3 linked regions of the Elephas maximus indicus genome follow. The protein of the gene in region 2 interacts with the protein of the main gene of each other region in a biochemical or structural test. Links are inferred from orthologs where the notes say so. Each region holds a gene or a part of one and is shown on either strand. Other genes may lie near its edges. The genes, in order: TLK1, MBP and CDK9.

The links.
Region 1: the proteins of MBP (region 2) and TLK1 form a complex in vitro, tested with the Homo sapiens proteins (2 studies listed by BioGRID, with this or other methods). The link is inferred for Elephas maximus indicus from reciprocal best matches to the Homo sapiens genes MBP and TLK1.
Region 3: of the proteins of MBP (region 2) and CDK9, one has a biochemical effect on the other in vitro, tested with the Homo sapiens proteins (2 studies listed by BioGRID). The link is inferred for Elephas maximus indicus from reciprocal best matches to the Homo sapiens genes MBP and CDK9.

Annotation. Positions count from the first base shown.
Region 1 is NC_064824.1:69,385,226-69,388,968, forward strand, and holds the start of TLK1 (serine/threonine-protein kinase tousled-like 1), read right to left. Parts: upstream 2,773-3,743; 5' UTR 2,373-2,772; coding exon 2,234-2,372; intron 1-2,233. UniProt on the Homo sapiens protein: Rapidly and transiently inhibited by phosphorylation following the generation of DNA double-stranded breaks during S-phase. This is cell cycle checkpoint and ATM-pathway dependent and appears to regulate processes involved in chromatin assembly.
Region 2 is NC_064829.1:84,281,310-84,285,052, forward strand, and holds the start of MBP (myelin basic protein), read right to left. Parts: upstream 2,913-3,743; 5' UTR 2,825-2,912; intron 2,215-2,824; exon of another isoform or gene 1,871-2,214; intron 1-1,870. UniProt on the Homo sapiens protein: The classic group of MBP isoforms (isoform 4-isoform 14) are with PLP the most abundant protein components of the myelin membrane in the CNS. They have a role in both its formation and stabilization.
Region 3 is NC_064827.1:78,877,049-78,880,791, reverse strand, and holds the start of CDK9 (cyclin-dependent kinase 9), read right to left. Parts: upstream 2,802-3,743; 5' UTR 2,581-2,801; coding exon 2,489-2,580; intron 2,026-2,488; coding exon 1,944-2,025; intron 1,200-1,943; coding exon 1,109-1,199; intron 753-1,108; coding exon 586-752; intron 473-585; coding exon 301-472; intron 144-300; coding exon 1-143. UniProt on the Homo sapiens protein: Protein kinase involved in the regulation of transcription.

The sequences.
Region 1 (3,743 bases), on a different chromosome or scaffold from region 2:
TTTCAGAGAGGTTGGAGTCTACCCAGAGGTGCCTCAGAAGAAAGGCCTGGCAATCTATTTCTGAAAAATCAGCCACTGAAAACCCTATGGAGCACAGGTTCTATTCAGACACACGTGGGGTTGCCCTGAGTTCGAACTGATTTTGATAGCAACTGGTTAACTCAGTTTTTAATCTACATGCTGGTTGGTCAGAGAGAGACCACACGCAGGGACTTGATATGAAATATAACTTTCACAAAACACATCCTACTTTCGTATTAATTAACAGATTCCCTATTTTAGGTTACACAAAAATCTACGGTAATCTAAACTGCTGGAAAATTCTGGTTATTTCAAAGTCCAGGTTAATTATTCTAACCCTTCAAAACTTTCAAATATCAGGAAAAGTGCAGAATAGTACAGATAAAGAAATTTTTAACTAGAGTTGAAGTAACTTCAGAAACTCAATCTAGATTTCGTGGCCCCCAAATTACTAACACTGATAACCAATGTCAACAGATGAACAACAGACAATAACAGACATAATCATATACCCTCAGTATCTAGTACAGGGACTGGCTTACAATAATGGCTCAACAATTGAGGAATGAATGATAAAACACCTTTAAAAAATAAAATAAAATGGTCTTTCTCAACTCACAACACTACCAGTAAGCACCTTAATGAAATTACGAAGTAAAAGCATGCTAAAAGCACCCAACTGTTCCGTTTACAAAATACCTTTTAAAATATTCATTTAAAATTTTTCAAGTGCACAAAGATCACCAGATACTAAATTTGAGTGAGTCAATAAATAAACTTTTATTAATAACCAGAACTCAGTGTTGAGAGCAAAATGAAAGGGAAAAATGTCTGTCAATATATTCAGCATGTTTAATGGATGCCATAAATCAAACCTTCCCACGAATTTTCTAGAGCAAATTCATGCCAATCTTTGAGCCTATTGTCACTTTCACACATGCTCACAGGAACAAAATGACAAAGAATGCTACGCCTGAACCGCTGGATTCAGGGCACAAAACACTAGATTAACAACTGTCAAGGCTATGAGTAATAAATATTGAGTGATATTTTCAAAATAAATTAAACCCATCGATTTCTACATAAATTGATGCTCCTGCTTTCTTTAAAAGATCCATTAGACTGACTTCCACACGTTTTTTTTTTTTTTCTTCTTGTGAAAATGTGGCTACAATCTTGCATGAGACAACTGGGACTGAACAACCCGTTTACCAACTGCTGATGAATACCGCTAAACATTTTCCAGACAAAGAGCGTTAAACGCGATTCCATGCACATTTACTCTTCCCCCATAAATGAGCGTTCTCCTGAATTTCATTTTGTGTCGTATACTTAAAGTTAAACACAGCAAGTTGAAATTTTAGCCAAAAGCACTCCGGTGTCTTACTAGCTGTGTAACTGCTACATCTGGTGGCAGCACACTTTCATGCAAGAAGCCAGAAAACTTAGAAAACAATCGTAACCGATCTGGTGCGTGTTTGCAGTAACCTTTACGCAGATATTTCCCACAAAACCCACGACCCTGTCAGAGAAGAACAGTAGTCTACTTGCAGAAGAGAGAGAACGCACAAACACGCAGAAGGTGATGGCGAAGGAGAGAAAGTTGCAACCATCTGGAGGGGTGATTTAAGAACCTGCCCACGAGTCACACTGTCGTTTAAATTGCTCTAGGGCAGGGGATCAAAGTCTGCCTAGACAATAATTTCAGCGTCTCTCCCTAAAGAGAAGAGACCCTGCAAACGAAGTGCATCCAGGTCCCGGGCAGCAAAGCTTGCGGAGCCACGGGACCGCCTCTGTGGGAGGAGTGCGAGGGCGAATGGGAGGGGGCTCGCGAGGATGAATGCTCCAACGGGAGGGAAAACCCACCAGAGACAGAGGAGGCCAGGAGGTTAAACGTATGGAGTGTACTAGGAAAGGGGGCAGAAAGGGACTCGCGTCCGGAGGGAGGCTTCCCACCCTCGCACGACGGGCTCTTAGGAAGCCAGACGAGTCTGTGCGCCTCGCCCCGTCCCCACCAGCCCGCACCCCCTCGCTCGTCTCCTCCGCCACCCGTGAACCACCACCCACAGCCAGCGCACTACCTCCCCGGAGCCCGGCGGCCTCGCGGCCACCTCGCCACCATCCCCCACCCCAGGGTCGAGGAGAGGAGACCCGAGGGCGCGGGGGCCGTGGCGCGGGAAGGGGGCCCGCGAGCGGGCGCGGCGGTGCTTACCTTCCCTGGGCCTCCCGGATGGCGGCGTGTGATTCAGCAGGGACCTGGCCGCCGCCGCCGAGCCCGGGGTTGGAGACGTGGAGAGCTGGGACCAAGATGGCGGCCCCTCCAAACTTCCACTGCTACTTTGGACACTCATCAAGCTACTTTCTGGGAACCCGACTCTGCCCCCGAGACAGCAGCAGTGGCAACGGCACCGGCACCCGCCTCCGTCATGGCGGGGGCCGCGCTGAGGGCGAGGGAGAGAGTGAGGGCAGGGAGGGGAGAGTCAAGGGGATGGGGGAAGGAAACCGAGCAGGGGGGAGGTGGAAAGGGAAGAGGTGAGGGGAGGAGAGGGGACTGGGAGGAGGAAAAGGGGGAGAAGAGAAGGAGCGGGCGGGCGCGCCGGAGAAGAGGCGGAGGGAAGGAGCGCCGCGGTAAGGGCGTCGAGGGGGCGCCCGCCGGGCTGGGGTCGAAGCGCGGGCGGAGCGCGGGCAGCGCCGGCCGAGGAGACTTCCGCGGGCGGAACCTGCCGGCACCTCTGCAGTGCGTCGGCCCCCGGCGTCGCCTGGGTGGCGGCGGCAGCGGACGGTGGGTGGCGGCTGAGGCGGCGGCGGCAGGGTAACCTCTGCATCAGTTACAGGAGGCGGCGGCGGCGGCGTCACGCGCCGCCTGTGCAAACACTATCGCGAGGCTCCTGCGCCTCCGGTAGCGGCGGCGGCCGCCGGAGCAGGCATGGGGGAGGGACCTGCCAGAGCCTGGGGGCGGGGGTGTGAGGAGGGAGCGAGCGCGCGAGGGAGGAGACGCGGCCGAGGGGGCGCCCCCGGCGCGCCCGCGGATCGCAGCGCGGGAGCCCCGGGCCGACGGACTCGCGTGCGCGGGCCGCCCTCCCCGCGCCGGCCGGAGGGAGGCGCGCCCCGCACGCGCCCCCTCCGCGCAGCTCCGGCTCCCGCGCCCCTGCCACCTGACTCCCCCTCTCCCGCGGAAGCGCGCCTGGCTCCCGACCCACACCCAGCCTGGGGAGGAATGCTTCTGCTCTTGCTCGACTGTCGCTTCTCCGTGGTTAGAAGTCATCGTTTTTCAAGATGGAACTGAAAAGTTGAAAGTTGCTTCTGTCTTGCTCTTCTGTACTGTGCAAAAAACCTGTGTGCGTCTCCCACTCTGCAGAATGGGAGTAATTACCGAATAAAAGAACTGAGGAAATAAGTTGGGGAGGGGGATGTTGCGATATAAACTTTCTGAATGTTTTCTTAAAAAAAAAAAAAATCTTTAGTAAAGGAATTGAAAATCACTACCGGTATTGTAGACCGTACATGTGGCATAGCAGTTCTTTTTGTTTTGAAACCGTAAGTGGAAAATCTAAATAGAAAATTTTTAACGCTGAATTCACATATTTAGGAAAATTACCCAGTGTTCATCGTGTAGAAAGGGCATGTTTCTAGAAAGTTCCAATTTGTTTCTATTTTTCCCCCAGCTCTGACTAGAAAATCTCAAAGCAAATTACAGCATTTTCTAAAATTTATAGACGCGG
Region 2 (3,743 bases):
ACCTCCCTCAAGTGGCTATACTGGACATGTCTTATGCTTCATGGCTACTTATTAAAAATTATAGTAAGAGTAATTAAAATATACTCTTTTATTCTTTATTGACAACTGAGGCTACGAGGGGAGGACACCTAACCAAGCCATACAGCAGATCCTCACGATCTAATCATTCTGACAAAGAAACATGGTCTGCGGGAGCAATCCTTCATTAGCAGTAGTCTTTAAAACCAGAAAAAACGGAGGGTGCTCTGCAGGCCTTAGTCCGCAGAGCAGTGCAGGGCAGCAGTGAAAACCTGCAAGGAATTTGGCTCTGCCACTTGCTAATTGCGTGCCTTGGGCTGACTCCTGTGACTGATCCGGGCAATAGGATAGTATCAAGGAGCTCTGATGGCACAATGGTTAAGTGCTCGGCTGCTAACCAAAACGCTGGCACTTTGAACCCACCAGCTGCTCTGCAGGAGAAAGACCTGGCAATCTGCTCCATAAAGATTACAGCCAAGAAAACCCTACGGGGAAGTTCTACTCTGTCACATGGGGTCGCCACGAGTCAAGGGCCAAGTCGATAGCAGCTAACATCAACAACAGAGAAGGCATGGAGGCAGCTGCTTATCTTAAATGTGTTAAATTTTTAAAGAATTTAGAGAAAAACTGAAAAAATCAAATTAACCTTCAATTAACATTTAAAAGTTCAAACAGAAGTACGAAAGTAACGAGAATGGTTGATTTCAACAATTTTCGGTTTTCAGTAGATGCTTTTGATTAACACACATCCTCACACTCACCACCCACCAAGAAGCAAGAACTGAAGTTCAAAGTCACCATGGAGCGATTAAATACCAAATCACTGAGTAACTGGTCTTGTCACTGGGCAGAAGTACGGTGCTTCAGAAAGATTTTCAAGGTGGATTTGAACCAAAGAGCTTTTGTCTTCTTAAGAAGAAGAATCATTTCAGAAGAGCTAATTCTTGAGAATGACTGTAAACCAATGTTTTGCAGTAGCTTTAACTCGATTCTCCTGCCTTTTAACTTGATTTGTGTTCATCCCACTCGGAAGCAAACCTGCTGAAGTATACTTTCCCCTGGCTCCCAGGGACACACACAACTATGGTATAGGTACCCTGACAAGTCAGGTCCTGTTTTTCCAGACCTGCTCTCTCCAGGGTGTCCCATGACCCCAAATGTCCCTCGGTGATGGCCTGGAGGGGGGAGCCCCAGTTCAGGGAAGGCCCCTGACTTGTAGGAGGTCATCTGTAAAATGCTATAAAACAAGGGTCTCAAACCAGACTTCCCCCACAAAACCAAACCCACTGCTGTCGAGTCGATTCTAACTCATAGCAACCCTATAGGACAGGGTAGTATTGCCCCACAGTTTCCAAAGACAGCCTGGAGGATTTGAACTGCTAACCTCTTGGTTAGGAGTGGTAGCACCTACCCACTATGCCACCAGACTTTCCCATCACCTGGAAAATCCTGTCTCTAGCCAGGCCCCCGGTGGTGCAATAGTTAAGTGCTTGGCTGCTAATCCAAAGGTTGGTCGTTCGAATCCATGAGAGAAAGACCTGGTGATCCACTTTCGTAAAGATTACAGCCTTGGAAACCCTCTGGGGCAGTTCTACTCTATAGGATTGCTGTGAGTCAAAATCCACTCGATGACCACACGTGTAGCCAGGTCTCCTGGTGGCTCACTGGTTAAGCACTGGGCTGCTAACTGAAAGGTCGGCGGTTTGAACCCCGCCAGCAGCAACTCGATAGCAATGGTTTTTTGGTATGAGTCAGAATCGACTGGACAGCACCCAACAATAGCAGCCAGGCCCCACTGAGGGATGCTGGCAGCCTGCCAGCACACTTGCTTCTGCACGTGCTTTACCAGCTCCCAGAAGCAGCACATGTTGTTGATTCTCACACTGTCACAACTGGGAAACAGAGAACTGGGAAGGGGCCTCATTCCTGCCAGGGTCTTACTGAGCTCCATCCCCACCCCACCTTCCGAAATGGAGGCTGAAGTGGACCCTAAGAAACCAGGTGCTGCCACCAAGAGAACCCCTGAGGGCCAAGAGCCACCTCAGGTCAGCAGAGTGACCACCATACAAACAGGTTAGCCGAGGGGTGGCCGAAACCGAAAGCATCAGGGTCAGGACGGGCAGCCCTGCACAGGAGGGCGCCCTCCGTCGAAGGTGCCCCGAGCCTGCCTCAGGAAGAACAGAGCAACTCCTGCAGGTGGGCTGCCGGTGGGACTGGTAGACAGATCGTGCGCATGGGATTGCAGGTGGGCTGCAAGTGGGCTGCAGGGTGCTTGGGCCAGCCCCAGGAGCCCTGGGTGACTGACCAGAGGAAGGCGGAAGCGGGGTACTGGGACGTGTGTCGCCGCCCTCCTTCCTCAAAGGGAAACTACACTTCCTCCTGTGTGTGTGTGTGTGTGTGTGTGCGCGCGCGCGCGCAGGGAGGGGGCAGGGGGTGTCCGCTCGGCTCCAGGTGTGTAATTTGAAGGCACTAAATGTCGTACGGATCCCCCGTCTGCCCTCCCCCTGGCCGAGAGCGGCCCCTGTGACCTTTGTCCCTCTCACCCCTGAACTCTGCCCAGCCGCAGCGCCCTCTCCCCTCTCAGGCCTCTGCGGGCCCGCGACCCCATGGCAGCCCGGGGGTTCGCCTCTGGCCAGGCCAGGGGGTTGGGGGCTTGAGCTCGGCACCGCAGGGCCGCCCCCTCGCCCGGCCCTGCACAGGTGAGCGCCGCGCGCCCGGACCCCGCCGGGACCCCGCGGCCCCCACCCGCTCCGAGGGAAAAAAGGGACAAAGGGGTCCGGCCGCCTCTGTCCTCACGGTCACCCACCGGGCTGTGCTCGCTGGTCCGGGCTGCGCTCCTGCCCCTCCGGTCCCGCACCAGGTCTGGGCGCCGCGCGGGCAGCGGGTCCCAGGGCGGCCGCCGCTCTCCGGGGTCGGGCCACGGGCCGCCGGGACCGCAGGCTTGTCCTCGCTGCGGGAGGCTCGCAGACTGACAGGCCCTACTCTGAGGCCGCGCCGCTCTCCGCCCCCGCTTCCCTGCTTCCTGCTGCCAGGTAAACACCGCCTGCCGCCGGGCGCCCCACCTAGACACCTCCCCGCGCCCCAGTGCGCCCCTGTGCGAGCCCGAGGACCCGTGGCGGCGCTGCGCCGCGCTCGCCCGCTCGGAGCGCCAGTGACACGAGAACCCACGGGGGACCCGCCCCAGGAGGGTGGGACTCTAGGCTTTGGCCACAGCAGATCAGGACCTAACTGCAACCACTTGAACCTTTCCTTCTGGCTGAGCCTGGAAACCAGTCCCACGCCGCCCCCCTCGGCTGGAGGGACCTGAGATGGCATCTCCTCCATGCTGCACTGCACTGCACGCACAGGCGACGGAGGCAGAGACGCTCGCCGTGGTTCAGGGACTCCCCACTCAAACCGAACCTCCCCCAGGACCCTGAGGACCCACCAACAGTGTTAATGTGCTGATGATAATTCTAAGACAAGGAGATAAAACACAAAAACGAAACCCAGTGCCGTCGAGCCAATTCCGACTCACAGTGACCCTATAGGATAGAGTAGAACTGCCCCGTAGAGTTTCCAAGGAGCGCCGGGTGGATTGAAACTGCCGACCCTTTGGTTAGCAGCCGTAGCACTTAACCACTACACCACCAGGGTTTCCGGACAAGCAGAGTAGATAAAAAAAAAAAGAAAAACTAGTTTAGATACCTCCAAAATAGTAACGCGTTGTGCGGTATTTCCACAAC
Region 3 (3,743 bases), on a different chromosome or scaffold from region 2:
GGTGATGGAGCCACAGAGCTGGCTGATGAGGGCAAGCTGGTGCTGCTCGGTGTTGCCCTGCATGATAGGGCTGCGGGTCCACATCTCTGCCATGATGCACCCAGCGCCCCACAGGTCAATGGGGGGGCCGTAGTCCCGCTCCCCTGGGAAGAAGAGCGCACCAGGAGGGCCCCTTGAGCCCAAGGGCCTCCTGAGATGCAATGCCCCAGGGCCGACAGCTCAGGAAGCCACGGCAGTGAGGGGCTGGGGTTGGGCAGGTGCCTGGCCCCTGCCCCCCTCTGCCCGCTCGGGGGTCCTCACCGAGCAATAGCTCCGGGGGCCGGTACCAGAGCGTCACCACACGGTTGGTGTAGCGGTTGGGCTGGCTGTTCTTGGCCAGGCTGAAGGCCCGGGCCAGCCCAAAATCTGCCAGCTTCAGGACCCCATCACGGGTGATGAGCACATTAGCTGCTTTCATGTCCCTGTGCAGGATCTGCAGGAAAGACAGGAGTGCAGGCTCAGCCAGGCTCCCCTGGATCCTCTGGCCACAACCATCCCACAGTGGGAGCAAAGGCCTTAGTCTCTCTCTCCTCCGCCGGCCCCTACCTTGTTTCTGTGGATGTAGTACAGGCCATTGAGCAGCATCTGCATGACCTTCTTGATCTCAGACAGTGTGAACTTGACTAAGACATTACTCAGCAGCCCAGCAAGGTCATGCTCGCAGAAGTCAAACACAAGGTATATACTGCCCTTGCAACGGTTATAGGGAGATGCTGAGATGGAAAGAATTGGGGTGAAGGACAGGAAGAAGAGTCAAAAATCCCATATGCAACCCATTTCCCCATAACCAGCTCCTACTCCCTCTAATCCATGGACCACCCATGTCCTCCAGAGCATCCATTTATTCATTCCTTCGCTGGCAAAATATATGTTGAGTGCTTCCCTGGGCCAGGTGGTGTGGTAGGCCCTGGGGAAGAACCAGCTACGACGAGAGAGAACCAAAGAAAGCAATCACCACTGCCTAAGAAGAAGCATTTTAAGGCCCTCCAGTTCTAACTTTACAAACAAAACCTTAGGCTATAAGCCCCACTTTCTCCATCTAAAAACGAAGGATGAGATCCAAACATACCTTTGGTTCGACAGATCTCAATCAAGTTGACCACATTCTCATGTTTCAGAAGTTGGAGAATCTTGATTTCCCGTAGGGCTGTGATGGGAAACTGGGGGGAAAAAAGACGATAAGAGGTCAAAAGTGAGTCAGAGAGCTGCGGGCCAAGGAACTGGTCCTGGGGTCTCTACTAAGGCATACAGATTGAAAGACAGAGTTAAGAACATGGGCTCTGATATAAGCTCACTCAGATCCCTTATCTGTAAAAGGGGTATGATAATAGCATGCACACCTCAAAGAGCTGGTTTGAGACAATGAACTTAATACCCTTATTTTACACAAATTCTTTACTATTCATCACTATATACGCTATTGTCTCCTGCTATTTTCATGTGTTAGCTCTATGCCTGTGTTTAACTTGCTCTGTGGTCACAAAAATAACCTTAAAACATCTTTGATGAGAACTTGGTTTCTGGGGAGTGGGATGAGAGCTAAGATTGGGTGGGATGCTCCTTTCCAACACACTTCTTTGAATATTACTCACTTTTTAAAGCCATATGCATACATTTTTTACATTAAACAAAATCATATACTAAAGAAAACAATTTTTAAAGCTTCTAAACTCTGAACCAAAGTGCATGCAGTGCAAGCATGAGCTCCCCCTCCTGGACTCAGCCCTACTTAAACAAATGTTTAAGATATTTTAATTAAAAGACTTAATTTCGAGGCCAAATTCCCTGAAATGTGCCAATTTCCGAAACTACTAACAAAAATTCAACCTCAGCAGGAGACTCCTGGAAAAAGCAGGCTGGAAACCCAAACCCGCTGCTCTGTGATGCTGGCGGGCCGCACTTACCCCCTCCTTCTCGTTCTCCATCAGCACCTTCTTCAGGGCCACCTTCTGGCCGGTCTTGCGATGCTTGGCCTTAAACACCTCCCTGCAGGCCGAGAGGGGACACTGAGGGCTGATGAGGCAGTTTCCGCAGGGCTCGCCCCTCCCCCACGAGAGGAAGTGTGGCAGGGACAGGGAGACTCCCGGGCGGGGCTCGGCCGGGCACCCGGCACTCGGCCACCTCACCGGCCTGGGTCTCCGGCCCCTTGCCGGGCCTCCGCTTCCCTCCCTCAGTCCCCCCTCTTTACCCAAGCGCCTTCCGGAGGTCCCGCTTTCCTCCCCAGTTCCTCTCTGCAACCCCTCGCCGTCCCACACCCCAGGCCTCAGGCTCCTCCCCGCCAGCCGGCCCCGTCAGGCCCCGGCGGGATGCGGCCCGGCCTTGCGAGACCAGGGGGCATGCCCGGGACTCAGCGGCTTCCCAGCCAACTCAGGCCCAGCTCCCGACGCTCCCACGTCGGCCCTGGGGAGTGCTGGCCCCGGGGCCCCAGTCCCTCGGGGCCCAGTCTTACCCAAAGGTGCCTTGGCCGATTTTGGCGAGCTTCTCATATTTGGACACCTCATCACAAAAGGGGCACTCCACTGAGTCGTACTGCTTTGCCATGGCCGCCTCCAGCGCGCCGCCACCACCTCCAGCCACCGCCGCCGCTCCCACTCCTGGACCTGCTGCTGTGCTCCAGGCCCCTCCGCGGCCGCGCCACTTCCGCCTCCACGGCCACTTCCGGCCTCGCGGCACAGACCCCGCCTCTTCCGCCCGCCGCCCGCCGCCGGGCCCCCTGGGACTTGTAGTTCCCGGGAGGCTAGAGGGAGCTGGAGCTGCAGAGGCGCCGCCGCCGCCGCCGCCGCCGCTGCCCCCGCCGCCGCCGCCGCCGCCGCCGCCACTGCCGGCAACGGCCCCGATCGGGGGCGCGGGGAGCCGGGGCGCCGAAGCTGGGGCTCTGAGCGGTGCGTCCCGCTGCATTGGCCCGGGCCGCTGCTGCTGCCGAAGCTGCTTGCCGCTCTGGCGCCCGATCCGGGGCCAGCCGCAGTGCCCTGCTCCTCCTCCTCCGACGGCACCGCCTCCGCCGGGCTGCGCGGGGCGGCGAGCGGAGGGGCGGTCCCCGAGCCGCGGCCTGGGGGATCCCTGGCCGGGCCCCGGCTCGGGGCGTCCGGGTTAGGGGGCGAGGCAGAAAGAGCCGACGAGGAGGCGGCCCGAGAGCCCCGAAGGGGGCGCGTTATAAAGGGGGAGGTGCCCTGGCCTCGCCCTCCCTTCTCCCTCTACCCGCCCCCTCCCTCCCACCCTCCGCGGCCGCACCTGCCGCCGCCGCCGCTGTCGCCGCCCGCCCGCCCGCCCGCCCGCTGTCCGCCGGCCGCCCTCGGCGCGTCACCGCCTGCGGCCCCTCCCCCGCTTTCGGAGGTGGGGCTCCGCGCCCGACACCTGGCTGCGAGGCGGCCCACCGCGTGCCTCAGTTTACCACCCCGGCAGGCTGTGACGGGGAGCCCCTTCTTTCACGGCTCGGAGTTACCCGCCAGAGGCGAAGGCGGGAGGCGCCAAGGGAGCGGCCTCCGGCCCTGGGAGGAGTGAACGGCCCCCGCCACCGCCCCCCCGGCCCCCGCCACCCGTCGTTGACATGGCAACCGACGGCCGCCAGGGGGCGCGGCGACACTGGAGGCGGCGAGCTAGCAACGCCCCGGCCTCGGGCCCTGTACCCCTGGTTCTCTGGGAGGCAGGAATAAGAATCACAGCGCCCCCACCCCATCCGTGCTGCGCCAGAGCCGGTTGGGCCC